4 linked regions of the Lonchura striata genome follow. The protein of the gene in region 3 purifies or fractionates together with the protein of the main gene of each other region. This does not show direct contact. Links are inferred from orthologs where the notes say so. Each region holds a gene or a part of one and is shown on either strand. Other genes may lie near its edges. The genes, in order: GCFC2, PAXBP1, HDAC11 and ATG2B.

The links.
Region 1: the proteins of HDAC11 (region 3) and GCFC2 purify together in Homo sapiens (co-immunoprecipitation; 3 studies listed by BioGRID and IntAct, counting the BioPlex papers as one, with this or other methods). This does not show direct contact. The link is inferred for Lonchura striata from reciprocal best matches to the Homo sapiens genes HDAC11 and GCFC2.
Region 2: the proteins of HDAC11 (region 3) and PAXBP1 purify together in Homo sapiens (co-immunoprecipitation; 3 studies listed by BioGRID and IntAct, counting the BioPlex papers as one, with this or other methods). This does not show direct contact. The link is inferred for Lonchura striata from reciprocal best matches to the Homo sapiens genes HDAC11 and PAXBP1.
Region 4: the proteins of HDAC11 (region 3) and ATG2B purify together in Homo sapiens (co-immunoprecipitation; 3 studies listed by BioGRID and IntAct, counting the BioPlex papers as one, with this or other methods). This does not show direct contact. The link is inferred for Lonchura striata from reciprocal best matches to the Homo sapiens genes HDAC11 and ATG2B.

What each region holds. Positions count from the first base shown.
Region 1 is NC_134605.1:107,009,564-107,016,624, reverse strand, and holds the start of GCFC2 (intron Large complex component GCFC2), read right to left. Parts: upstream 3,001-7,061; 5' UTR 2,943-3,000; coding exon 2,648-2,942; intron 1,587-2,647; coding exon 1,479-1,586; intron 42-1,478; coding exon 1-41.
Region 2 is NC_134604.1:4,242,806-4,250,106, forward strand, and holds the start of PAXBP1 (PAX3- and PAX7-binding protein 1), read right to left. Parts: upstream 3,007-7,301; 5' UTR 2,943-3,006; coding exon 2,510-2,942; intron 1,806-2,509; coding exon 1,677-1,805; intron 111-1,676; coding exon 1-110. UniProt on the Homo sapiens protein: Adapter protein linking the transcription factors PAX3 and PAX7 to the histone methylation machinery and involved in myogenesis.
Region 3 is NC_134614.1:2,021,284-2,028,934, forward strand, and holds the start of HDAC11 (histone deacetylase 11), read right to left. Parts: upstream 3,009-7,651; 5' UTR 2,997-3,008; coding exon 2,908-2,996; intron 1,361-2,907; coding exon 1,212-1,360; intron 291-1,211; exon of another isoform or gene 104-290; coding exon of another isoform or gene 43-103; intron 1-42. UniProt on the Homo sapiens protein: Responsible for the deacetylation of lysine residues on the N-terminal part of the core histones (H2A, H2B, H3 and H4).
Region 4 is NC_134608.1:14,163,076-14,170,417, reverse strand, and holds the start of ATG2B (autophagy-related protein 2 homolog B), read right to left. Parts: upstream 3,018-7,342; 5' UTR 2,954-3,017; coding exon 2,792-2,953; intron 1-2,791. Other genes in the region: GSKIP (GSK3B-interacting protein), read left to right, coding at 3,966-3,979, 4,512-4,770, 5,386-5,547. UniProt on the Homo sapiens protein: Lipid transfer protein required for both autophagosome formation and regulation of lipid droplet morphology and dispersion.

The sequences.
Region 1 (7,061 bases), on a different chromosome or scaffold from region 3:
ATCTTTGGTGTTGCCAACTCCAGACTCCAACTGACAGATTTCTTCATTATAGGGGAAAAAAAGTATGATCCATTATTTCAGCTGCTGGAATATGATGTGCCATAACTGGTTACCAGAAATTATTTACACCTTGCTGCAGCAAAGACCAGTCACTTGTCTAATTCCAGCTGTTCTCATCAAAACATGTCAAATTGTAACATTCCAAGACAGTAATTTACAAGACAATTCTTGAATTGAATAAAAGCATCTTTGGTGATGCTTCCCATAGAAAGACTATAAGTCCTTCTGAGACACAGAGTGTATTTACATGTACAAAAGCAATGAGATCAGCTCTCAGATAACAACTAATAATATTCTGATTATTCACAGCATATTTGGATTCTTGACTTGAAAAACTGCATTTAGAAAGCACTTTTTAAAAAGTATTAACAATAAGGGCGCTCCTAAACTATAAACATTTATATCTATCTTGTCTCCAGTTATTATCAAATCCTTTAAAAGTATTGATTTATCTTCATCTGCCACTACAGTTTCAGTAAATCATAAGATTACAATAGAATGTACCACCTTCTATAAGAATATGATACACTTTTATAAGAAGTTGCTAAGAAAATTTACTATCTCAGCTGAATCACAACCTCAAAGGGAATTCTTGCCCAATCTCAATCTAATTTACTTTTATCTAACAGTAGCATATACGGTTTATCTGTGAATTGACAGAGGTGTCAAAAGGGGAATACATAAAGAGAACTTTTAGATTAATTTCTTTCTAAAACACACAAACTCCAAATATTCCAATAGGAAACTTACCACAGAATGGTTTGGGTTGGAAGGCACCTTAAAGATCTAGTTCCAATTAGCCTGCCATGGGCAGGGACATCTTCCACTAGCCTAGGTGCTCACAGCCTCACCCAACCTGGCCTTGAAAATTTCCAGGGATGGGGAGTCCAAAGCCTCTCTGGGCAATTGACTGTATTTAAATGAAAATAGGGATACTATCAGAATAATCAATGCTTTTGACTGCATTCAATTAAAACATTTAAATGCTGTAAGAGCACAGAATTTAATAATGTTTGCATTAAGTTTCATCAGACAAAATGCTACTAAGCTCACATTTTCCCTCAATGCCAATTCTCAGATAAACTGCAATCTGACAGCAATAAGCAGTGGACACCTGGCCCATAGTTTGAAACATATGATGCTGAGGTACAAACTTAGCAAAACTTTGCTAACTTTGATGTAGTACATGGTTCTGCATAATCAGGTTTTCTCAAGAACAGCCTCCAAGTTCTGATAATCTTTTACCAAGGTCAAACTGAAAATGATTTCAGCACAAATACATTACAATTATAAACCTGTAAACCAACATTGTAAATATAATTCTGGATTCAATTAACAAGCAAAAAACATCTAACAGCAGTATTTTTACATCACTCTTCACATATTTCATAAAATACTTAACTAAAAGAAGTACTTACTTTTGCTTTCTTCAGCTTCTGTCTGTGCAGGCAGTAAGCTTTCCTTCTTTTTAATTCTAAAGGTTACTTCGTTGAAGGATGGCTTTTTAACTTTAAAAAACTCTTCACCTACCAGATAAAACAAAGTGATTCTGAGTAACATTAATAAAACCAACAATATACACACATATATATGTATGTACTGCATACAAAAGTGCATGTAAACTCTATGTGTGTGCACAGCCTAAGTTCTGAATCACAGAATCAATTAGGTTGGAAAGGACCTCTGAGATCAAGTCCAACCTATGACCAAACACCAACATGTCAAGACCACAGCAGTAAGGGCTATGTTCAGTCTTTCAGTTCTGGCTGGATTAATTCTAAATATTACAGCAGCTTCATCACTCATGATCGACCAGCTGGTAAAAACTCCAGGTCAGCCTCCTGTACACAGCATCACTGCACTGCTGAAATGCAGGGTCTCTCTGCAGCTTGTCCCCACCAAGGTGGCTGTCTTCTCATCAACCACAACAGTAACAGCCCAGAAGTGTCAATCAAACACTTAAGTTTCATTATTTAATCTTGCTCATCATGGAACTACACAGTACTGGCTTTCTCCAGTTGTAAGATTCCAGATGCTTTCCAGCTGAAACAATGTGGACATAAGTAATTATCAAAGTACTTTTCACAGAATCACGGAATTGTTAGGGTTGAAAGAGACCTCTGGAGAGCACCTTGGCAAAACCCCGTGCCAGGGCAGGGTCAGCTGGAACAGGGGAGACAGGAATGTGTCCAGGAGGGTTCGGAATGTCTCCAGAGAGGGAGGCTGCCGGCCCTCCCTCGGCAGCTGTTCCAGTGCTCTGCCACCCTTGATGTAAATAAGGTCTTCCTCATGTTGAGGTGGAACTTACTGTGTTTTAGTTTATGGCCATTGCTCCTCATCCTATTGCTGGGCATCACTGAAGTGAGTCCAGCACCATTCTCTTGGCACCGCGTTCGAGATATCCAGATGGACTGACAAGACCCGCAGTCTTCAGCAGACTAACCAGGCCTAGCCCGTCCTTTAGCGCGGGTTCATGGTGCGAACGCTCCCAGGAGCCCTTCCCCTGACACGAGAGGCAGCAGGGGCTCGCTGAGGGGGCAGCCAAGGCAACACACACACACACACACACACACAGGACCCTCCTCACCTTCCCGCTCCTCCTCGCCGCCGAAGCTCAGCAGCTCCTGCCCGGCCCGGCGCTGCCCCGGGCCCGCGCCCGCCCCGGCTCTGCGGGCCGGCTCCCCGGCGGGCAGCGGCCCCTCCGCGCCGGGACCGGCCCCGCCCGCCGCGGGCTCCGCTCCCCGCTCCGAGGGCGAGCTGGCGCCGGAGTCCGGGGACGGGGCTGCGGCCGGCTCCGCCCGCGGCTCGGGCTCGCCCTCGCTGCTGCCGCTGGAGGCTGCGCGCCGCCGGCCGCGGAAGTTGCGCGGGGGCCGGCGGAACATCGCTGCCGGGAATGGCCCCCGGGAATTGCTCCGGGAATCGCTCCGGGAATCGCTCCCGGAATCGCCGCGATCCCGCCGCGCGTCCCGCCGCGCACGCGCCGCGACCCCGGCGCGCCCCGCCCGCGGTGGGCGGGACGGAGGGATGGAGCGCGAGAAGGGGACGGTGAAAAGACGTAAAAGGCGTTTTTTGGTGACTCACTGATGCCTAAAAATGTAACTAGCCGTCAGCCTCGCAGTGTACGGGCTGCTGTGCTGGGTGGGTGCTCCCCTCTTCCACAGTACCATAGAAAACGTATGGAGTTCCGGTATTATAAAATATAATTTATAAATAATGTATCATTATATGATATTTTAATATGCGTAAATTATATATATATATTATATATATATTATTAATATATATATTATATGTAAGTTATTTGGCGATAATTACTAATGCATATTTATAAACTTTTGTGATTGCTACGTATTATGTAAATGAATAGTAAATTGAAATGTAATTGCTAATGCCTAGCTACACAAATAAACTATCTATTTTAGAATTAGTAGTAACATACACTAAAAACAAATAAATACGCTTTTTAAGGCCAGGTTGGAGGCAGTTCTGAGCAACCTGACTAGTGGAAGGTGTCCCTGCCCATGGAATTAGATGATCTTTAAGGTCCTTTCCAAGACAAGCCTTTCTGATTCTATTATTATTGTAAATGCGAAACTCATTCTGTAGCTCGTTGTCAAAAAGTAATCACACATTTTTTTTCCCTTTCCTCAGGCTGAGCTCACAGAAGGAGCTAGGCAGGTGGCAGTGCTGGGGGAAGGGGAGGGGAACATATGGCTGGGAACAGAAGGAAGGTGGGAATGTGACAACTGATGACAAATTGGTTTGTTTGGAAAGGAGTTGCACTGTAGCTTGTACCAGCCTTTGATTTCTGCCGTGCTGACTGGAGCTGTGTGTGGTTTGCTCTGTGGAAAGAAAGTGCATCCCACTCCAAATGAAAACATGAAACCAGGCAGAGCAAGTCCTTCAAGTAAGCTTTTGTGTCCCAAGAGAAGTATCCAAGAATAGCAAATGTCTGAAATGTTCTTGCTCAAATTGCTCCACCTTTCTGTTCTTCATCTGTAAGATGAAGATGCTAATATTAACTTGCCTCAGGAATCTTGTGAAGAAAAAGCTGCATTTGTGAAGCACCAGTTACAGTAAGAATAACATAAAAACCCAAGATCAGCTAAAATATATTTTTATTCAGCACTGCTTCTGAATGATTATTAAATAAAACCCAAGGCTACTTAGTGAATAAGGATGATAATAAAAACTTTAACAATTCAGGAAGCACAATTCACCTTGCAGCATTATTTATTTTCTACACTCTAAAATGGTCGGGGTCTGGTGGATAAATAAAGTACTTATGCAAATGCTGAAATTAAACCTGTCCATGGATGTGTGTTTAAATTGACTTATTGCAGGCTATGATTCAAAACTGCCTTATTGCTGTGGAATTTATATGGACTTTCCCTGGGTAGTTTCTCTGACTGAAGAATAAAGTCAAGAATAGTCTGGGGATGCACAGGTGTATTGAGTTGTTCCATTGTGACCTGGGCAAAGCAAAGTTTGCAGATGTGGATTTACCTGGAATAATGCCCATAAGATCCATGTTTCTCATTTACCACTCCAGCACTAATGAAGGCTTCATCAAGCCAAGCAAAGATGGGAGTTTTACCAGGAGCCTTTAACATCTTTAAAATAATGGCAGGGCTTCTTTCCTTTGTTGTGTCTCTGTATTAAAGTTTATTTTTCGTCTGATTTTAAATCCTGTCAGTCTAGTAAGCACTACTCAGGTAGGACTGAGGACCTCAGCATGGCAGAAACAGGGAACACAACCCTTGTACTCTTTGTCTTTCCTGCAGGTTGAAACTGCCATGCTTGCAGTTGTCCTTCCAGTTAATATGCTCACTAAGTGCCAAGATATTGATCTGGGCAGTGGCATCCAATCCATGATGATCCCAGTTCAGAAGAGGAAAATCAAATTCAGCCTCAGCAACGCAGCACAGTATTTCTTGGAAGGACTGTCAATGCCAAGTGCCAATGGATTTATCTTCTTGGGCAGTAAAAACCCTTTTCCTGACACAGGACAAAAGGATAATTTTGCCTTTTGCATGAAGGTTAAAGTTAACAGACTTTAACAGGTGAGGATTTATTGGTCACAAATATTAGAATCATTTGTTCTTAAGTGTTTTAGTGACTATGTAACCAAAATTCCTCTGGCAAATGAATTTTCAGAAAGACACAGAGTAGATCAGTGAAGTAGACCAGCAAATTATTATAGATTTCTCTTTCCAAAGCAAGAAGCAGGATAAAAGCAAAACAAACCTTGCATGAAAATTCAAGTGAAGCATTAATAGCTGATAGTATGATCTCTTTTCACACTCCATTGATTTCAGCTCTGGCTTGAACCCTGTTAAACTTTAATGTCAATGTAAGTTACAAAGTTACTTGCTCTGACAGACTTACCTCTCGTCAAAAACAATTTTCAACCGCAAAAAAAAAAAAAAAAAAAAAACCACAAAAAAAAAAAACCAAAACCTAAGAGGTCAACTCTGTTTTGGGGGAAAGACTGCAAAATTAGATCCAACCCCCTAAATGCAGCAACTTTGTCACTGATTTGAGGTACAGTACAATCATATTTCTTGCAGCTGGTGGAAGAATTTGCCTTTGCTTCCGTTTTTCATGGAAAAGTCCAGCAGGATGTCAGGCAGATGGGGGCAGCAGCACCTCGAACACTCAGCGTTACACCAGGCAAGCAAGAGCTACAGTCAGGGCAAACTTCTGTGTTCCATCAACACAGAGCTTTTGTGTAGACTTCCATAAACCAGCTTAAAACTACAGTGATCTCTTTGCCCTTTCAACGAATCCCTGTTTTTATTAATTACGTTATTAATCATAAACTCACTTTACTGTTTGACACTGTTTTGCCTATCTTTATCATAGTATGTACTTGTTTTATAGCATGCCTGCATCTTTTCAGAAATCCACAAATCTGAAAAAACTTCCTTTTTGCAGCAACTCATGAAACATTCTGAAATCTGTGAAGATTTATTTCGAATTTTCCACAATATTTATGTTATTCATCCCTTAAAAGCAACATGTAATTCCAGAGAACCTCACAAAACTGGTACACAAGAGGTACACTACTCAAAAGTAGTACTGGTCCTCAGAACCCAACAGTATGTATGAAATAACAGGGTTTTAGCTCCTAAAAGTGAAAGATTTATGGGAAAAAAAAAATTGTAGCTAATGCAGTAGGGATCCCAGCCTATTGGGATCAGAGTAGCTTCTTGGCTTGCATCAAAATTTGAGCATGGAGAAAAAAATGTGTCTGAAATGAACCTGCAACTCTGTCTTACCAAAATGTTATTTACTAGTTGTGGCATAAGGATTGTAAAATTGCAACAAATAACCTTGCTTAACCCCATTACTCTGGTATTGTCAGCACTTGGCACTTGTGAAATTCCTGTGTGCTTGAGCATTTCTGCCTGCTTGCACTGCAGCTAGGGATAGCAAGTAAAACCCTTGTGTCTGCTCAGCAGTTGGCAAAGTTTTATTTGCCATAATTCAGTCTGCATGAGTCAGCACTGCGTCCCTTCACAGCATAGTCTGGCCTGACTGGAAAGTTGCTTTCTCTATGGTTACATAGATGTTCTGTAAATCTCAAAATAATTTCAGTGCGGTAGGCAAAGAAGCCTTTGCCACACTGAACAAATACAGTCCAGCTCCCCATCCACTACTAAATAATATCAGTGCTTGGCAGGGAACAAAGTTGGGACATGAATATTTTAATTCATACAGCTATGAAGTAATAGAAAATCCTGCAAAATGAATACAGTAGCCATTTGTTATTTTAAAACCTGTGTGGACTTCTGGTTTAGAAACCAAACCAACACCTCTAGAAGTTCTATTTTTGATGCAGTGTGTGCTTTGTGCCTTCTACACCTTTTTGATAAATTGCTACTCAGAATCGATATCAGAAATGCATCTTGTTCTTTTAGGTGTGGAAAGCAAATATCAACCTGTCCTTTTGTTTATCCTGTTCTGTTTTATGCCTCCATTTTTAAATAAAGATGTGG
Region 2 (7,301 bases), on a different chromosome or scaffold from region 3:
TTCCTTCTCACTTTCAACTTCCATTTCTTCTTCACCATGCTCACTGTTTGCAGTCCCATCTTCTTGGCCTATATCCTTATTCTGTCCTATCTTTTCTAGTGGTGCTTCAACTGATAAGACAGCAAAGTCCATGTTTTACTCCTTTTATAAAGATCACTCAGAAGTATTTTTTTAAAGATATAACAACCAAAAGTGAAAATCAAATGAAAATGTTAAATAATAATTTTATTGTTTGAGATCTAGGAAAATACACTTTCTTAATTGTGATTAAATCACTGACATCTTCTCAAAATAAAATGTGACAAGGCAGGCCCCACCAACCACTAAACATTCTTCATATTGTCAAGTATTAAGAAAGTGGGGGAACTCAAGCTTGTGCAAGCTTGTCAAAATCTCTTTCAATGAGAAAGCACTGCCTGTGTTACACCAAGTATTTCCACAAGAAATGACTGATTTGAAAAGAACCATTCATTTTCCTCTTGGCTACACCCTACATTAGGTGGGTAACATACAGATACAGGCAGCAAGTATAATAATGTGTAAAAAAATGCACATTAAACCCAGCTACCCAAACCAAGCTGCACATATCTGAGGTTTCAGACTCAAGCACTTGTTTATAGAATCCAGGCTGCTCTTTCAGTAGCAGTCTTTAAGTCTTTGAACTATAGCCACATGAATTAGGGAGAGCGAAACAAACATGGCCCACACAGACACGTGCAAAATGTAGTATTTTAAGCATCATTGTGACAGAAGCAAGAATCCAGGTTTTCACAGATGACCTGAATACTAGCCATAGAAATGATAATTTCTGGTTTTGCTCATGTCCCACACCACTGCATAGGCAATTTAAAGATTCTAATAAGAAAGAATATGTGGGTTTTCTAAATGCAAACAAAATATTTAAAAATAATTAATTCAATTTAAAAAGGGTATTTCCTGCATGGGACCATGTTCAACACCCAAGTGCTTCTCTAGATCATTGCAATCTTTAGATCATAAGCCTCCCAGCTCATGCTCATATCATTACATAATTTATGTAAAAACTTAAGTGGAAAAGGAAGCACTACACTTTACCAATGAGCTTCCCAAAAACCAACAGTAAAATGAAATTGAAGTCCCGGGCTCTATTTCAACCTCTCAAGGACTGTACATTGTAAACAGATCCTTTTGCTCCAACACTTTGAGTCTATCATCTTAATCAAGTATACTCAAAGGTCCAAGCCCTGAAACAGGTAGCTGTTTAACAATTAACTTAAAAACAAAGACCATCACTCTGCTCGCCCCAAAAATCTTCCTTTTTGAAGAAAATGCATTATAAGGACACATCTTGTCAGACAAGCACCATTTTCAAATGAATGGAATTCCTTCCCAATTCAATAAGCAATTCATCTGTCATAAACACAGCTGCAATTCAGAATACTGATGTCTACTGACAACCATCTAACAGAGCTGAGAAGTTCCATCCTTCTATGTTAACTTCTACATGAGAACCAAAGAACTTCCTACCAATGTAGAACAGCATTCCTAAGGCTCAAGTAACACCTTTCATCTGTGCCTTACTTCAGCTCTAAATGTGAAATTCTCTAAAAGACTAACAATTCATTTTGAAAACAATAAATTAAATTACAGTACTTGATCTTTTCCACTACAGAAGTTACTATTAGTTTTGCAATTACCATCTGTTGGAGAATTGACCTCTGTTCTAACTTTTGATTTTTCAAGATCTTCTTTGTATTCCTTCTTCAACTGTTTTACAATCTTTTTGCTGTAACTTGATTTCTTCACTTTGAAAACTTCTTCCGTTTCTTTAAAAGAGAAATTGGATAACATTACATGAGATCTGTCAAGCATACTTATTTATTTAATCTTTAAATTTTGTACCTGGAACCTCACAAATGCCATTAAAAAACCATTAATGGATGCCATTGTAGGGTTCTTTCACAGTCTCTAGTGAAAGTCTAATTTTACACCTTCTATAAAGATTTCAAATCACAACTCTTAGAAACCAAGTTTCAGTGATTTCAAGATAATTCCTTCTAAGACAACTCAAAACTGTGAACTGTTCGTACAACAGGCAGTGAGTCCGAGGTGACATGTGAACACCAGCCAGATTAAAACCACCTCGACAGAAAGCCACGGCACCGATGCTCCTCAGCTAACACCGATGGCTCCAGGGGGAGGCTACAGGCTGCACGAACCTGGGGCATCCCAGGCGCAGCAAACGCAGCACAAGCGATGCACCAGCAACACAGCAGCATCTGAACCCCTCCACCACAGCTAACCCCGCTGGAAGCATGCTGGCCCCGCAGGGGACGGGGGAGGCCCGTGCTCTCAGTCCCCTGGGCGGCCTGGGGCGATGTGGGATCACATAAGACGGGGCGAACCCTGACTGCCCTAAAAAACAAATACGGATCCTGCTCGCTCGGAAGGCCTGGAGAGGCCCAGCGCAGGCTGGGCAGCTCCGCTTCTCTTTCACGACCCAAAAGCCAGGCAACCATCTCTGCCTCACCCTCCTCCTCGTCCTGGAAGCTGAGCAGGCTGGCCCTCGGCACCTCTTTGTTCTCCCGCGAGCGCTTCTTCTCCTTGGGGCGCCCGGCAGCCGGCAGCCCATTGCCCTGCTGCGGCGGCGGGCGCAGGGCAGCGGGCGCTGCCAGAGCCCCCAGCCCCGCTCGGTCGCCTCCCATCAAGCCCAGCCCCAAGCCGAGAGCCGCCCCGTAGCTGGCGGCGCAGGCGAAAGCCGCGGGGCTGCCGGGCAGGGCGAGGGGCACGCAGCCGGCGGGCAGCGGCAGGAGCCCGGCGCCCGGCGGCGCGGAGGCCTCGCTGGGCCCTTCCCCCGCCGCCGCGGCCGCCGGCTCCTGAGGCGGCTCCTCGTCGCGCTCCTCATCCTCCTCCTCCGAGTCGTTCCGCTTGCGCACGTTCACCCTCCGCGCCTTGCGGAACATGCCGCCAGCACCCCCCGGCCGCCCCGCCAGGCCCCGGCGCCGCCCGCCCCGCGCTGCGGCCCCGGCCCAGGCCCGGCCCCGCCAGCATGGCCGCGCCGCCGCAGCGCCCCCTGCCGCCCGCTCCGCCAGCGGCGGGCCGGGGAGCGGCACGGCGCCTGCGCGGCGGCAGCGCGCCCGGCCCGCCCCCGCTGCCTCCCCTCACGGCCGGCGCCATCTTGTGCCGGCAGCGGGGCGGGGGGAGGGCGGCGGGAGCGTGAGGTGGCTTACGTGACAAACGACAACCACTTGGTTTTTAAAATATTAAAAGTTTAATAATAATAAAATGGTTATAAAAATAGTAATACAATTAGAGTAATAAAGTTTACAGTTAAGACAATTGCAAGACAATAAACAGCAAAGAATTACGGACATCCGGATGCTCTCGGACACTAAGCCACAAAAAGCATTCCTTGTGAACAAAGGAATAACCTTAAAAACAATAGCCTGATGCATATTCATATATCCTTCATGGTTATGCATACATTCTATTCAAAACAAGAACTCTGTTGTATGTCCACTGTTTCCTTTAATCCCCAAGGCGTTTTCGAGTCTGAGCATGGCCTGAAGAAATTGGCTTCTTCTGATAAGAAAACCATAAATTCCTTTTCTTGGAAAGATTTAAGTGTTCCTCAAAGCGAGTATCTCATTCAAAAAAAAAAAAAAAAACAAACTCCCCCAACATACATTGTCTCTATTTTAACATTATGTTGTAACCTCAAACTACGTTTATCACACTGCTTAAGAGAATTAATACAGCATAACATTCTAACATTACACATATAATATTCATTGTAACATTTGCGAAAAGCCAATAATAAAATATGCATTTTTTCCACAAGAGCAACATCTCCAAAATGCATCTACGTCTGGTATAATAAAACAAATTTTATACAACACACTCATCTTGCATGATGAACCTTTTCTTTAATATAAGTGTGAAAAATGCATATTTTCACAAGAGCAATGTCTCCAAAATGCATTTACGTCTGGTATAATAAAACCAATTTTATACAACACACTCATCTCACATGATGAACCTTTTCTTTAATATAAGTGTGAAAAATGCATATTTTCACAAGAGCAACGTCTCCAAAATGCATCTACGTCTGGTATAATAAATTTTATACAACACACTCATCTCACATGATGAGCCTTTTCTTTAATATAAGTGTGAAAAAATGCATATTTTATTATTGGCTTTTTGCAAATGTTACAATGAATATTATATGTGTAATGTTAGAATGTTATGCTGTATTAATTCTCTTAAGCAGTGTGATAAACGTAGTTTGAGGTTACAACATAATGTTAAAATAGAAATTCTGCAATATAGGATTTGTTACAAGTTCAAGTGAGAAAATGAGATAATCAAGAAACTCTTCACACAGAGATGTCAGCAAAAGGGGCCCATAGAAAGTTACAGCCTCCTTATCAGAAAAGACAAATATTCTTCTACCTTCTCTCCATCTTTTTGGAACCACCAAGATTAAGAAGAAGAAATTGATAAAAACCAGAAAAGTTCTTAATTTGCAAGGAATTTATGCATCATGTATGAGATATATGAATATGCAACAAGTGTATTGTTTTAAGGTTATTCCTTTGTTCACAAGGAATGCTCTTCATGACTTAGTGTCCGAGAGCATCTGGACCTCCGTAATTCTTTGCTTTTTATTGTCTTATAATTTTCTTAACTGTAAACTTTATTACTCTAATTGTAATACTATTTTTATAACCATTTTATTCTTATTAAACTTTTAAAATTTTAAAAACCAAGTGATGGGCGTTTTTCACACTCTGGAAAAATTCTGTGAGCTTCTAATGCAATACTTCTGTAGTGCAAAGCCCTATAAAATAGAATTGGTAGCAGGTTTTTGGTATCTGCTGGGCCAGAACGGGGCTGCTGGGAAACTCACCACAATATCTGAGCTGTGGATTTCTGTAGCTGAGAATTTTTTCCTGGAAACAGCAAACTGCAGTGCTTACTTGGGCACTGGAATAAAATGTCTTTTTGCACCAGCCTTATTCAGAACACTACAGTGGCAAAAGTAACTAGAAATTTAATTTGCTCTGTTAGAAAGCCCATGGATTTATTAACTTCATTTTTTCCCAACAAGGCCAGAATACATACATCCTCAGCTACTGCTGCATGTGTAAATTTTTGGACACCGCTGTCATGGTAGTGGGGAATTACTGTGATTTCAGCACATTTGCCTGTGTCTGTAATAGACAGTCATGAGAGGTATCACTGGAAATATTTGTAATTTGGAGAAAAAGGCTTATGGTTTGTTGCCAAGGGGCTGACAAAGGGAACAATGTCTTTACAACAGCTGATTCAATTGTTCTCTGGCTGAGTTAAATGGAGTTCGGTACCCAGCTTTCATTAACCAGTGTGCTTAAATCTATTTGCAATTGCAAATAGACCCCATTAATTCCATCATTAGCACATTGCTGATTTCAGTGGGAAAGGTCACAGTAATGGGGGGTGGGAATGTATTTAAGTCTTCTGAAAAATTAAGTTTTGCTTTCTAGAAAACTGCTCCATCATTGATTACAGTTGTATCAATATGACTATTTAAAATAGAAATAGTCTTTCTTTAAAACTGCAGCAGCTTCACTTCCTCAGAGTTCCTCTGGTTCCTCAGAATCTTGATAGCCATTCCCTTAAGTGCACAGAGAATCATGGAATCCCAGACTGGTTTGGGTTGGAAGGGCCCTTAAAGACAACCCAGTTCCATCCTCCCTGCCATGGGCAAGGACACCTTCCACTGGACCAGGCTGCTCAAAGCTTCACCCAGCCTGGCCTTGGACACTCACAGGGATGGAGCAGACACAGCTTCTCTGGACAGAAGGTTTCTTATATTTTATCTCAGTTTCATGTAATCGACTGCTGCCAGTGCAAGGCTCTTATTTCAAAGCCTTTATTGTACTGTGTGAATGGATCCAGCCTTAGTCATATCTCACAGAATTCAAACCTGCAGACATGGGCAAGGAGCAGACTTTGGGCTATTTTAATAGTCTTAGTGTAGGTTTTTTAGGGGATGACAACCTTTCTCATGCAACACATCTGAAAATTATCTGCCCAAAGCCTCACCTCCCTTGTCAGATGAGAGTCATTTCATGGAGTATTTCTTCTCTCTCATATGGGAGAACATGAGCAATTTGCCATTGTCACAGATGTTGAAGCTCCGTCCATTTGGGGAAATTGCAGATGACAGTACATCCATCATGCAGGTGGCAGCCTTTCCCTGAAAAAATATGGATCAGATGAAGTGATCCAGTGGAGAGTCACCAAGACAAGCAGGGGCTGGCACATGTGACTGTGAGAGAAGTGCGAGGGAACTATCCATGCTCAGCCTGGAGAAGGGAAGGCTAAGGCTCATACATGGAAAAAAGCTTACCAGTGAGGACAAGGCAAGGCAGTGGAGCAGGTTCCATTGTGCAGGCTCCATCCTCGGGAGCTTTCAGGACCCAACTGCTGAGCTGCCTGGTCTGATCCCAGAAGCAGTGAGCTGACAGCAGGGGACTGCGCTGAAGGTGTTGCTGACATTGGCTGAGTGCTAGAGACACCCAGGTCCTGAGCTCAATCCCCATATAGGCCACTCACTTAAGGGTTCAACTTGATGATCCTCGTGGGTCCCTTCCAACTCAGGATATTCTGTGACTCTATGCAATTTTCAGTCACAGCTTAGCAGAGACACAACTGGCTCTCAGCTGTTCAAACCCTGTGTATGCTTCTCCACAATCTGCATTCAAAACACCACCTTTACATTCCTGTTTTCACAACAGAGTACCTACTGAGTGCTAGAATTTCTGCTGCTAGCCTGGGACTAACTGTCCTAAATAAGCAGTGAGATTATTTGCAAGAACTCATAAAGCAGCTTCACAAGGAAATGCAATAGGACTACACTAAAAAAAATCATGAGGCAACATCCTGTGAAGCAAAGGCACTCTAGTAGGGCACATGTAAGAAACAAAGACTAAGGTTTGCTGTGATTCAAATGAAAAGGTATTTGCTGTCTTTTCAAATATAATGCCTGGCCTTTACATGCTTCAGGTCCCTCTGGGAACAGCCAATACTGGTACCACAGTAAGAACATTTGGCCAAAGTCAGGAGGAGTTAGGGTGTCATTTGGAGCCTGGACATCCAGGCTTTTTTTTTTTTTTTTCCTAGCAAACAGCACACCTGTCCAAGTCATGACCTAAAAGCTTTTCCTTGAGAAAACTGTGGGAAATTATGTCAATGGCTTTACTAAACCCCAGGTAGACAACATCCACAGCCTTTCACTCACCCACCAAGCAGGTCATGTTGTCACAGAAGCCAGG
Region 3 (7,651 bases):
AAGTGAGAGATTTTGCTCTGAAGTGTTATACAAGAACAGCACCTGCGACATTTGTTTTGGCCAGCTCCTGTTTCTCCTGACTGAGGCTTGAGGAACAATTCATTCATGCAGTGGTGTCACACAGAGCCAAACTGCTGCCAGCTTCCTCCTCCAGGAGGAAGGGACTCTGCAAAGATGCTCGCTGCTGATCTGCTCAGTGGTAAGGCACAGGGGAGGGTCAGCTGTTGCCAGGAATTGCTACACAGCCACAGCAAACCAAGTGCTCTGGGGCATCCTGGGGCTTCTTCCTCCTTTCAAAGGACAGTGAAACAATTGGGAAAACTGATTTTCTGTGAAAGCTTGAGACACTTGAGAATAGACGTGTCACAGAAAAGGAGCTGGAGGAAAAGGCTTTACACAGAAGAAACAGAAAGGCAAAAGTTCTGATCAATTAAGAAAAGTGTTGTGGAACACAGCACTAAATTATTTAAGGTTGGTAGAGGAAAAAGCCAAAACTCAGCTACTAAGTTATTAGTGTTAAAATTATTTGACCTCAGTTAAAAGAATAAAAGTCAGCCTGCAGTGGGAAGGGCAATCCTGAACTGCAAAGGATCATCAGCTGAAGGAGTCATAAGGCCCACATAAAAAGAGGTCTGGCTTTGGGACAAACAACAGCCTTTGTCCTGGAAAGAGAAAAAGCCTTTTTTTTTTTTTTACCCTCAATGAGCAAGTTCTTGCTTTAAATAAAGAGATTACAAGATTTCACAAGCCCTGATCCTGCCCCTGGATCTTACATTTCTATCTCCTTAATGCATTTCTACCTGTATCCTACAAATGGTTTAAACAGCAATAATTAGAAGCATCATAAAAAGCTCTGCCTGTACCAGAAGGACCTCAAAGCTCTTTCTAAACATTATCAGAGCAATAGGATGAGGCTGCTGAAGAAAGGACTAAAGTGCTACAGCAGCACTTCTCCCTCAGCCTGAGGAGCTCTGTGTGCAGTCCAGCTTGAGTAAGTTACATCATCATTAACACCTGGTGTTTCACCAGCCACAGGAATGCCCCAGCTCCTGCTACACCAGGTGTAAAGGCAGGAAGCACAAGGCTATAGGAAGCCACACACTGCAATTCAGGTCTCTGAAAAGCCCAATACAAGTCTGTACTAACCACATAATTTTCTTTAGATTTTGTGCAAATGTTGGTTTAAGAGACACCTTCTGTTATGTTTTTACCTTTCAAAAAATTGATGACTTTCCCCCATTTCCCTGCATCAAAGGGGTGCAGCTTCTCAAGTCCCATGAAGGTGATGTTGTAGTCTGGGGAATACACAATGGGCCAGCATCCCAATGGGGGATCCTCGTACAGCTCCGTCCTGTGAGGCCTTGGCAAGCAAACACACACCAGTCACCACTTCAAAACTCATCTACCAGTTTGACACTGAAGGCTCAAGTTACAAATTAGCCCTGATACCGACTTTGTAATTCAAAATATGGTAATTCCAACAGAAAAATGGCAACATTTGGTTCTCTCCCCTCGTCTTTCCAAATGTGTCAATCAACACCTCTACCTTCAAAGGTGCACCCAGACTAGACTACTATTTTAATTTCTGTATCAAAACACAAACCATGATGCTTCTAACAATAGAAGCTTGGAAAGATTTCTATGCTCTTTTCCTAGAAAGCAACAAACTACTTTGTGACCACCTGAGCAAACTAATAGGCCTTAGGTTTTTACTTGCAGAGGACAGAACCAGATGCCACACCTGTAACCTTTAACCAATATTTTCCTTGCCTACCCCTCCAAATAATTTTATTTTCCCAATACCAGGAAACACAGCAAAGCCAGGTCACAGCCCTCCTTCACAAGCCATTCGCCAATCCACCAGTATTTATTAAATGCTCTGTGTTTACAAAACAAACACCAATTGTCTGTGGACACCAGTGTGCACACGTGGGTCAGGAGGACAAACCAAGGCTGAGATGGGATTCTGCGTTCACACTTAGCCTATTCCACCACCTGCTGGTTGCCTTCTGTGCCCCAAACTCTCGTCACTGGAGAGAACAGATGCCGAGGCCTCTCCTGCTCCCCGAAATGCCAAGTATGGAAAAGGCTTTGCCACATACTGTGCAAGACACAAGCGTCTTTTTGTCAGGTGAACAATACAAACAGAAACACCCTTATTTCCAGCCTGAACACGTTCAGAAACACCCTTTGAAAACCCTGTTAGAAGCAAGCCAAAGGAAACACGAGGACAATGGAGGTTTCTCCCCAGGACCCGCAGCCCGGCGCCTACACACCGCCCACACTGCGAGCCAGGGCTCCCCGAGCCTTCCCGCGGCCCTCCCCGCGATGCAAGGCGGCCTCTGGGGAAGGTGCTGGGACAGCGGGGCCCGGAGCCTCGGCCGGAAAACAGCAGCACTGCTCCGGAGCCCGGGGTGCTCGCGGCGGGACTCCCCGCTCCCAGGGACACCGCGTCCCCAGGGGCTCCCAGGGGCTCCCCGCTCCCAGGAACACCGCGTTCCCAGGGGCTCCCAGGGGCTCCCCGCTCCCAGGAACACCGCGTTCCCAGGGGCTCCCAGGGGCTCCCCGCTCCCAGGAACACCGCGTTCCCAGGGGCTCCCATGGACTCCCCGCTCCCAGGAACACCGCGTTCCCAGGGGCTCCCCGCTCCCAGGGGCTCCCCGCTCCCATGGACTCCCCGCTCCCAGGGACACCGCGTTCCCAGGGGCTCCCAGGGGCTCCTCCCGCCGGGGCGGGGCCGGGCCGGGCCCGCGGGGGCTCCGGGCGCCGCCGCAGCCCCAGCCCGGCCCTGCGGCTCGGTGGCCCCGAGGCCGGGCAGTGCAGGCCGGGCAGTGCAGGCCGGGCCGTCCCGCCCGGGCCGTCCCGCCGCTGTCCCCGGGCCCCGCGGCCGCCCCTGCCCGTACTCACATCCCCGCCTCCGCCGGGCCGCGCAGGGAAGGGGCGGCCCCGGCCCCGCCCGGCCCGGGGCGGGCCCACGCCAGCCCCGGCTCGTACATGGGAGCGGCGGCTCTGCGCCGCGGGCCGCGGCGTGCACCTCCGGCGGCGCCGCTGAAGGGAAGTGCCGGACGAGCCGCTGGGCTGACCTGGGAAACGCAACGGCCTCGAGGCGATCCCGCACTAACGGTGTCTTTGGGTAGGAAAATACCATCCTCTCTGTAAAATAGAATTGACAGCTCGTACCGGTAGGTGCTAGTAGGTCTACAGCACGGTGAAGAAAGCAAAGGTGAAACAGTGATCCTACCTAACAGCAGCGGAACTGTTGTAAATGCAGGCGAACCCAATGGGAAGAAATGGCGATGTCTGACTCAATTGAGAAGGCTGAATAATTTCTTTATTATAACTATGGCTAAAATACATTAATACGCTATATAAAAGGACGGTGCTAAAACTACATACTTCTTTCTGTAACTCTAACTCTATATAAAAGGACGGTGCTAAAACTACATACTCCTTTCTGTAACTCTAACTCTAAACACAACTCGTGATCCTGAGAGTCCAGACACAAGTGGATTGCATTGCATTGCATTGCATTGGCTATCAGGCTCAAACGATCCTCACCAGAATCCAATCAAGTACTCACTCCAGGTAAACAATTCTCCAAACACATTCCACATAGGAAAAACAAGGAGCAGAAATAGAAATTGTTTTCTCTTTCATTTCTCTCTGTGTACCTCTATGAAAAATCCTGACAGGGAGAGAAATGTGCTTGCCACACAGAACTGTTAATGATTTTGACAGGTCAGGATTCACCCCAGGGACAACACCACTGAATTCAGGCGCACAAGAAAAGAGTTTGACGTCAAAACCCCATTTCTAAGCATAGTTAACTAATCCTGCCTGAATATATATAACAAGCATTTTTACACAGTTGTATAGCTAAATCAATAATATGATGAAAAATAGTCCATCAATAGGAGCAGTATCTATGAATCCCAGGATGAATGCCCAGAAGCACTCTTTTCACTGGAGGAGTAATACTGCTTTATAAGAGTCCCTGATAAATGTCTTTTTTTTTTTTTTCAAATATATTGGCTTTGGCTTGGCATTCAGTTTTGATGGATGCCTGGGCTTCACCTTGGTATTTATTTAGCAGCAGGAGACCATAACACCACAAAAACATTCTATCGCTTTGACATTATCTTTTAATTAACATTTATTTTGTTCTGGTCCTTTGTGTGCTCACTCAGTATTCCTCCAGCACATTTACCTTTTCTTCCTTGTTCCTAACTACTTGGGACTTAATTAGAGTTTGAGTATTTAGTTAACAAGCTACAAACATAGATTGTTAATGTTTTAAGATCTTCACGGGACTTAATTTCCACTATGTTCTTATTTTATTTTCATTTATACTCTTACTTAAATTAAAAATCCACTGATGGACTAGTTTCCATGTTTCTTGGATGTCTTAAATTGTTTTGGAGCACTTCCAGGGATGGGGACTCCACCACTCCCCTGGGCAGCCCAGTGCTTGATGACTCTTTCCATGAGGAAATTCTTCCTAATATCCATTCTGGACTTTCCCCTGCACAGCCTGAGGCCGTTCCCTCTCCTCCTGTCCCTGTTCCCTGGAGCAGAGCCCGACCCCCCGGCTATCCCCTCCTGTCAGGAGCTGTGCAGAGACACAAGGTTCCCCCTGAGCCTCCTTTTCTCCAGGCTGAGCCCCTTCCCAGCTCCCTCAGCCTCTCCGGGTGCCTCAAAACCCTTCCACAGCTCCATTCCCTTCTCTGGACACACTCCAGCCCCTTGAGGTCTTTCTTGTCCTAAGGGCCCACTGCAAGAAGTGGTGAAGGTCTGGGATGGTTAAATCACTTGAACATGATGAATGTTGAAACAGGATAAGGGATTTTCCCTATCAAGAAACAGTGAAATGATGGGCTAAAGTCAGTGCTAGCAAATTCATGCCACAAAGAAAGTTGGGACTCTGGATCACTGACAAAACCTCTGGGTTAAATCCTACAGATGAAGCAATGTGATGCCAAATTGAGAGCTGATGCAAACTCACAGTATTACTTCCCTGAAAATTCCCACTTAGTGCCTGGAGCTGAAACCCTGCAGGAGTTGGGATAACCCTGGTGGATCTGATCAGGCCTGACATGTGCAGCTCTCCTCCGCTGCACGGAGGCAGCTGAGCTACTTCCAAAGGAGCTCTCTCTCTCTTGTCACGACAGCCTGTCCTCCGTAGAGTGTGAATCAGCTCCCTTGGGTTCGGCTGTGAGACGCTAATTATACATCATTAAAGGGCAAGGCACCTTCGAGACTGACATAAAAGCCGTGTCACTAATAGTTTGCTTTCAAACCTCTTTGAGTTGAGGCTTTTGAAACAGGTAACATCAAGACATTTGTTGATAAAATCAGGAATGAAACACTTGTAAAGAAACATATAGAAAAGAGATTGTTAAAATTTACACTGAGGCTTGATTTTCCTATAAAAAATTTTGAATAGTAACTCATTACATGAATTTCTACAGTAATATAATTGGTGTTTTTCAAACAGGAAATAATATTTTGAGAGACCATGCTACTTTAATCTCTTTGATCCTGGGGCCTTTGATCTGCCATGGTGTGACATGCCTGAGATCAGGCATTTTCTTCGGTGATGTGTTGAAAATGTGAAATTACTGATTCCTGTAATCCAGCAGAGCAGAAAAAGGTCTGTGCTTTTTATAGCTCAGAAACTGATACAGCTTTCTTCCCTTTCTCAGAGCCACTGGAAATGTAAGGCCTGAATATTCCTTAAAGATAAGATTATTTTCCTTACAGTGTTGTCTTCACTCTGATTAGCCTAAGGCCGTCTCCCTGTCTGAATTACACCTAACTGAAATCCTCACTCCTTAACAATTTGGTATGAGCCACAAATCGCTGCTCAGTGCCTTCAGTGCTGTGCAATTTTCAAGATGAGAGATGTGGGCTATTGCAACAGAATTCAGATGATACAAAACCCAGCAAGGGTTTCTCCAAAATAGTCTTTAAATGTCCGTTTCAGATTCACTGGAGGGACTCAGTTCAGTGCCTTGAGCTGATGGCCAGTAGAGGAAGCCATGAGACTTGATTTACTTTCATACTCTGTAAACATCTGCTCTTTTTGACATATCTAACCTGTTCTGATCTTTAAGTGCTTTGATAATCTGAATGGTATTTAGTCTGTTTATAATATGCAAGTGGTGAAGTGCAACACACATTTCTGCCCCACCTTTTCCAAGTATATTCAAAAGAAACACATAACTCAGCTGATGGGAAAAGTGTAATAAACACTGAGAAAATGGTTAAAAGTATCCTTAGACTACCAGGAAAACAATAAATCTCAGATTTCAGGACATTTTTGTTTCTGATGGCCTCCTGCACCTTTCCCATTTACCATTGCTTCACAGGTATTGGACTTGATGGAAGTAGGGCTGGGGAGGGAAAAGCAGTTTTATGTTCTAAAGATATCACAGAACCCCAGACTGGTTTGGGTTGGAAGGGACCTTAAAGGTCACCTCATTCCAACCCCCTGCTGACTGGGATGTCAGTCACTAGATCAGCTTGCTCAGGGCCTCAGGCAGCCTGATATTGACCACTTATAACCAGGAGCAGGGACTTTCTGCTACCAGCAGCACGATCATCACTTGCAATGACTTGGAACACCTTTGCTGCCCCAAGAGAGGTCCAAGGCTCAAGAAATGAGGCGTGGCCCGTGGGGAGAACCAACATGACACAAAACATACTCAGCATGTTTCTAAATCCATTACTGTTTTTCACTATTTTCTTGTTTCTGTGCTAGTTTTAGATTCATAAATTGCACTCTAACAATGCCTCCAGAGATGTCCTGGCAGAATTTCAGTCTCGGTGTTCACCTGAGCACAGCTGAGAAAGCAATGTGCACCAGTACTAAAGAACCTGGAGTTATTCCAAGCTTTGGAGTTTCCTAAGCTCAGAACTATTTAGAAACTCCTTCAAAGGCCTTCGGCTAAAATTTCTCACTGGTGCCATGAGGTGTTCACAAGTTTAGATAGGGATGTCTTGTGATAACCAGATAGGACTTTTTACTTAACTATGACGACACAATTCAGGCACAAATTATCAGATAACTGGCTTTATTTATTGACTTTATTACTATTAATCCAGATGTAGATGTAATGGTCACAGAAATTAGAGGGAAGAGACAGGATTCTGCCACAGTGTTTGCTCTGCTTTGTGCCCAGAACACTCTTCAGGAAGCCAGGGATCTGTGAAGCAAAGGCAAAACCCAGCAGCAAGAATAGGAAGTGCCAAGGAGCCCACAGCTCTGAGTAGCTACAGCAGGACTCTGGGGTGTTCTGGTGTGGGGCCAGAGGAGCTGTCAGAAACCACCCACAATCTGGTTGTGACACGTACTGCTGCATCACACCCACATGTGATTTGTGTTTATTTTCCTGAGAACAAGATAACATTTCATAGTTGTATTGCAATAAAAATTCCTACTGGTGAAGAACCATGAGATATGCATATATTTATATATAAAATAGTAGAGGTGGTATCAGGAAATACTTGCTTTTCAGGAAGCTTGACAGCTAGGGATCCTTCATAAATTTCAGATAGAGCTGATCCCTTCTGTTTTCCTCACCATCTTCCATATGACTAATAAATGCAATCAAAACAAAAGAAAAACATGTTTTTCAAGCATCTCAGAAAA
Region 4 (7,342 bases), on a different chromosome or scaffold from region 3:
AGCAAGTTCCTGCCTGTGCTTTGATTTTAAAATGTAGTTAAAATTTAAGTTCTTAGACAAGAAGTAGTTAGGCTGCCTTAATGAAACAAATCCTAATCTTACTCGCATACCAAATCCAGAGAGTGCAACTTTCCAATGTAAACAAAACCCTACTAAAGACTGTGGTTGTAATAAAAGGACAATCTTCAACTGGCAAGAGAAAGTACGGTTTTGACCTTCCTGAGTTTAGAACAAGGCCACTGATTTTACCTGAGAAAATGCTTAAATTCAGCATCGTAAGTTTTGAAAGAAATAAGGATTTAAAAGTTGTTGTCCACTTTTTTTTGTATTTAAAATTATATTCCAATTATATAGAATAATTTTTAAAATGTAACTTTCTGTAAACATATTTTCTTTATTTTTAGTTTTCTATCTCCAGGTGCAACTTTCCCATCACATTAACTTGTTGCTCTCCTTATGCTCTTAATAACCTTGCCTTTAGGATTTTGCTTGCCTTGCATGTTCAGCTTTTCTAGTTCCTGTTCCAAAGTCCACTCAAGCAGCAGCAAAAGACAAACTTTAAAGAAACAGAACCTGAACAGTCCTACTGGGAAATTATTCAGGAATCAAATAATCAACTAAAATTCAGTGACATTAAAATTTTATAAAATTAATAATATAAAAGCTCAAACATATTTGGGCTTATATTTAAGAATTACAGATATGGCAATAGCATAAAATAAGGCAAAAATAATTGTTAGAGATGAAAACTATTTTAAAATATCACATGTTCATTAAAATTATTTGAATGAATTTACAAATTATTTGCTATAGCAAGAAATAAACTAGCTATCATAATTTCAATAAATCTGACTCAGATGTCTTTTTGCTACCCATGTGCATGGCAATAAAAAGTAAGTGTATTTTAGTACACTGCTTATTATTTTAAAATAGAAGTTTACTATTTAAAAGCAAAAAAACTGAAGCACTCTTGAGCTAAATTGCTTCACAAATAGGCCAGATGTTCCTAGAAGGAAGTAATTGGAGCATTCCAAGTGAAATTTTAAAACTGAAGCACAGCCTTCACATAAGGACTTGTTTCCAAACTATTGATCAACAGTCCACAAAAGTAGTATTTAATGTATACTAAAATTCAACCACAAACTCATGCATTACATCCTGATTCTTCTGAACAACCCACAGCCCAAAAGCCATAAGCTTGACGTTAATAGCCCCAGGAATTCCTACATATCTCTACAATCTATAAACACAATGTTGGCTAAAGTATCTACAGTGCTGAGATGAACAGAAGTGTCTGTAAAAATGGATGCCATGTAAAAATACAGTCATCCTGGTGATTCATTGAGAACAAGGTTACAGTGACTAGGGGGAAAAAAGAGCTGTAGTACTTCCGTGACATCTGCTTTTGCAATCTGTCATACATGAGAGTCACGTGCAGAGAACCTCAAACATGTAATTGTTTACAAGTGGAACAGAAAACTGCTGATCCACAAATGGGGAAGATCACCTAAGCATTACAGTATATTCATTTAATCACTGTGTACACGTTATGCAAACTTCGTTTAGTACTGGCCCATAACTGCTTTGTTATTAAGTATTTTATATTTTAAATAATATAACTTTGACTCGCAAAGAGTGCTCGTTACCCACTAGAGGGCACAACAATTCAATTAAAGCGAGGCAGCCTCACTGCAAGCCTGCCACAGAAAACAAGCTGCAGACACAGCCAGAAAATAAAAGAAGAAACAAACAAGCAAACAACAAAAAAAGTCCACACTCAGACACTGGTACCATTGAGCATTTCTGCAAGCGTCTGACCCCTACCACTTTCAAACATATTTTCACACTAACAACATTAAAAATCATTACCTGAAAACATCATATATTCACATGTACTTTAAAATGTATTCTGTATGGCCTAATACCAATACATACTGTAATAAAAAGGTGGTTTGGAAAATATTAATGCAAAGGACCTAGCTCATGATCTGTGCTACCCTAGAAGTCAGTGACTGATTCACTGCAGTGCTTAAGTGTCCTCATGACAGACACTCGACTCACAGGTAGAATTCAGTAATGCTGGCAATTAAACCAAGAACCTTTACAAAATATAACAAACACAGTGATCCAAAGGTGTGTCTCTAGAGTAGGCTGGAAATATACATGTGTGTATAAATATAGATATATTCAAAAAACATACATGCCAGGACTGGAGTGTGACAGGCCACCTGCTGAGCAAACTCCAGCAAAAATCAGCTTTCTTTTTGTCAACAAGTACTTTCACCACTACAAGACGAGGAGACAATCTTTAGAGGACTACACAGACTAAGCTCAGCATAACACTATCATTAAGAACCAAGATGTCTCCAAGAAAAGACAAAGCATAGATACCACAGGGATTACTTTGTTTTCACCATCTCTAGTAGTCAGTAAACATACTTCTCATTAACTACAGGGATTTCTAAAAGTTTGGGGTACACTAGCTTGTTCTCCCTGAAATATCGGCAGCTATTGCCTTCTTTCAGTTTTTGTTTCCCTTCTCATAATTAAAAATTGTGCAATCCAAGTGTGGCTAGAAAAATGCATCTGTAATAAATGCCGCGATTTTTTTTTCTTAAGTGCTAGAATATCAAACAACAGTTTCCAAGATTGAATGCTAATTACGGCTATAACATTTTACATAAAAGAGGCTGGGTGTTGAAAATAAAGTGGGTGGCAGCCGGGGGCAGAGAATCAGCTGGTCCCTCAGACGCCGCAGGAGCCGAGGGGGTGAAGCGCCAGCATCTCTTACCCACTTATCCAGAGGGACCTGCGTCAAGGAGCCGGTGCCCTGGTAGAGATCCAGGCTGAGCTGTTCCAGGCTGAGCTTCTCCTGCAAGAAGTGGCCCAGGTACCTCTGCAGCAGGTACCTGCAGGCTCTCTTCTTGATGGACTCCGAGAAAGGCCACGGCATGGCGGCTGCACGCCGCGGGCCGAGGCCGGGCGGCGGGACGGGGCCGGGCGGCGGGCGGAGAGCGGCGGCGCCAAGGAGCCGAGCGGGCGCCGCCAGGCCAAGGCTCGCCCCTCGGCGAGGGCTACGGCGGGGGCTCCCCGCTGCCGGGCGGCACCGCCGCCGCCGCCCCTCGCCCCCGGCGGGGCAGCGCTGCCCGCCCTAGGGCGAAGAGGCGCTGACAGGCAGCTCCATCCTCACTCGGACACCGCCGCCATCTTCTCGGGCGCGGAGGGGCTGCCGCAGCCGCGCTGCGCGGGGAAGGGCCGGGGTCCGGCGGGAGGGCAGCCCCTCCCCGTCAGCTCTGCGCCGCCGGCGAGGGCGGCCAGGCCGATCGCGGCCGCTCGCCTCCTTCCTCCCAGCGGCCCCCCGCCGACCACCGGCACCGTGACGTGCGGGAAGTGGCGTCGCCGAGCGGAGGAGGCGGGCGCGGAAGCGGCCGCGGGAGAGGGCGGCGCGGCCGGAAGGCGTCGTGCGGCCGGCGGCGCCGGGGCCGCCTCTCCAGGGAGCGGCCCGGGAAGCAGCGGGGCGGGCGCTGTCCGCCGAGCGGGGCGGCGCCGCGTCCGGAGCCGTGCGGGCCGGGCGGCGGGGCCTCGCCGTCCGCCGGCGCTGGTGGGTGCGCGGCGGGGCGCGGCGGGCGTGCGGTCCGTGGGAGCGGGAGGCTCGGTATCCACCTCCCCTATGGCCTTCAGCTTCCTTCGAATTTGTTTGTGTGTCGGCGGTGGGATTTGGCAGGAAGCGGCGGATCCCGTGGAGTTGCGGATCGGATATTGGCAGCCCCCGTTTCCTCCCGGCAGCGGTGCTCATTTGCCCGGGAGCTTTCCCTGCTGCCTCAGGCGGGTTCCACAGGTGTCAGCTGCGGCCTCCCCGCGACACTGGGACCCGCGGGGCCGCTGCCGGAGCCGCGGTGATAGCCCCGCTGGGGCTGCCCTTTGATACCACTTGCTCGCGAAGACCAGCAGCCTGTGTCTCTGGAATGGATCGGCAGTCGTGCGTAAAAAATTAACAGGAGCTTTATTCTTTAGTGACGGTAACAAACGGCTGCCTTTAATTCCGAAGGTCTTTGATAACCCATTTAGTTCATAGACTTTTCTAAGTTTTCCTTAAATGCACCAGCGATAGGGTTTTGTTTTCTGTAGCTACTGATTTAGCTTTTTGCAGGCATGACTTGTCTTCCTCCTACACTCTTGATCAGCAAAGTGCAGAATTAATGACCACTGGATCTTAACAGAGCCCTATACCACAGAATGCAAGTTAACTTGCCTGAGAAAAACTAGGGTCAGTGATACTGATACCACTTCTAAATGTTTATATAATCTTCTTCAGCCCTTGTTCTGAATATCCTATGTTTGAGTTCTCTAGACTGTCATTTCATGAGTTATGGAAGTCACTGGGTCTCATAGTTTCCTTTTTTTTTTGGACAATGTTAAATACATTTGTTTAAAATATAACTTGTGTTTTATGGTGTTATATATTGAGTGTAGTGGTATAATAAGTCTAAAATAAATGTTTTTATATGCAGAATGGAGACTGATTGCAATCCTATGGAGTTGCCCAATAATACAGGGTTTGAAGAGGATTCTGATTATAGAGACTTCGAAGGAACAGACGTGAAAGATATGAGACTAGAAGCCGAAGCTGTTGTAAATGATGTTTTGTTTGCTGTCAGCAACATGTTTGTGTCAAAAACCCTTCCCTGTGCAGAGGATGTGGCATATATCAATGTGGAAACCAGGGAAAGGAACAGATACTGTCTGGAACTCACTGAAGCAGGACTCAGGGTAAACTAATTTGTTTGTAATTTCTTAAACTTCTTTGTTTTGAACAATGACCATATTCAAAAGGTGCCTAGAAAAATACTTCACTGACAACCACACATATCGGTCTTGTACTTTTATGAAAGCCTGATCTACATGTTTTCTTCTAGAAGAGGGAACTTTAGCTATTTACTTCTAACAAAGCAAGAAGGGAAGTTAATAAAAAATCAGGATTTTATTTAAGACACAAAATGGTGAAGATAGAATCAGTAATTTGTTACAGGTATGTAAATTTTTGGGTTTCTCAGGTACCCAAAGAAATCAGTAATACAACGTCTATACAATTTTTTTGCACCATTTTTAATTTTTGCACAGACATGTAGATGTGAGACTTCTTTTCAAAGTATGTATTTTACTAACATTCTGAGTTTTGGACAAGAGGTATTTGAAATTGTCTTAAATGCTGTATAACCAGTAAGCTCAGTAGTAGAAAGCAGAGACTGTGATTTTAAATTTGGCATTTTTTGTTCTTACAAAACATTGTACTGTACTACCCTGACTGGAAAAGTTAAATGTTGTGCTACATGTACCAAGGTGATCATCACCACAGAAATTTAACCACCCAATTCTTTGTTGCAGGTAGTAGCTTATGATTTTGATCAGACTGATGATAGACTGCAAACTCCATATCATGAAACTGTCTACTCCTTGTTGGACTCTCTCAGCCCTGCATATCGAGAGGTGTTTGGAAATGCGTTACTACAAAGACTAGAAGCTTTGAAGAAAGAAAGTCAGTCATGATTTACCCAGATATGAGGAAGATTTAGTGCCAGAAGGAATTATTATGAAGCACTGAGATCTTCCTTACAAACTGCTTAAGCTTCATTTCTTGCATTAACGTCTACTTTGTGCTACTACATTATTATATAACATTTATTTATATGTTATAACAAGTATATTATATAACATTTTGCTACTGTGGTTTTGCATATATCACAAGATTATTAAAAGCCAATTTTATAAATAGAAAAAATTCTTAATTTTACTTTCCGTTGTAAATGAACCTGTAAGTTGCTCCATACAATGTTCAAAAACCTTGGTCTCTTTTCCAAGTCTTAGTATTCAAAACTAAAAAAATAGCTACTGAATGTTATAGATATAAGTAGTAATTCTTTGTGTATGTGTTTACTGATAATTTTCATGCCTTCTTTTTAAAATAGAAGGTAACTACTTGCTCCACCCAGTTAATGAAATAATTAATGAAAAACTTCTGCAAAGAATTCCTGCTTGATTTGCTATACATAAACATGAAAGTTGTCAGCTTTGTAGCTGGAAAGATGGTTCTTCAACAGTTGAGCATTGCTTATATAGTGGCAGTATCTGAGTTAAAAGCAAGGCTCAGCATTAATTGATCTGTCCTTGTCTATGGCAACCAGCAAGCTCCAAATAATACACGAGATGAGCTGCTTATATATGAATGTATTGTCCGAAATGCAAATGATTAAGCACAGAATTAATGGGCTACACATTTCCTAAAAATGATGTTATCTATGCTATAAATATGTATGCTGTACTGCAACTGTTTGAGAGGCTTGGAAGGCCTGTTTACTACTTTGAATGTGTATTTACATGATGTACAGGATATACTCAAGAGTATTTTTGATTCAACCTTTACTTTCTATAATACAGGACTTTGGTACTCCCAGTTTTCACGTTTTCTCCCTCAATTGTACAGTGTCCTCTCCAAATGACTACTAAACTAAGCACTGTAATGTTAATTGCATTGTATTGGTTTGAAACCAAAGGCTGTATGAAATTTGCTAAGACTAATACAAACTGGAAGATATAACTTGTATTTTGTACTTAAAAACTGGTACAACTCTCTTTATAAATTGTTCTGCTATAACTTTTCAAGTATGTACTGAATGGTAGACTTTTTAAAAATTAGAGTTGGGTAGAAATGCTTGTACAGTTGAACTGACATTCTGTGATATTCACACTTTTTGTATTATTGTGTATTTGTGTGTCTTTATTTAAACAATCCTGCCATTATTCTTTTATGCTTTTGTGACAAGTACAAGCAGTAGCTTTTTTGGAGCCACATTTAGGGATTTATTGGTTTTCACAGATTCCAGTGACTTCAGTAGAGCTATGCTGGCTTCTATCTGCTGTGGTTAGTCATATAGATCAGACAAGCCTAGCAGAGCTTTTGTAATGGCTTTGAGTTAGCAGTGTGCAACTATGACAGGAGAACTGTAATTAGTGCTTCTGTTTTCAAGAGCTTAACTTCATAGTTATTATCTTTTTGGGTTGAAACTTCTGAAACTAGTCCAGTGCCCTAGGGTATGTTTCCATGCTCCAAAAATTGTTCATAGGCTCTCTTTTGCACACAGGTCTGTGGCACGTGGTTAGTCCTCTGTGAGGAGAATGTACTTCAGCAAATTTATATTTGAATATTTTTCCTTGCAACTGATTTACTTGTTCAATTTCAATGACTAAAGAATTAAATAAATGGACCAGTGTGTTGAAGTTTTCTTGTGTGGCGTGGAGCTATTGCAAAGTTGGGAATGAACAACTGAAATCATCATGCCCTTAG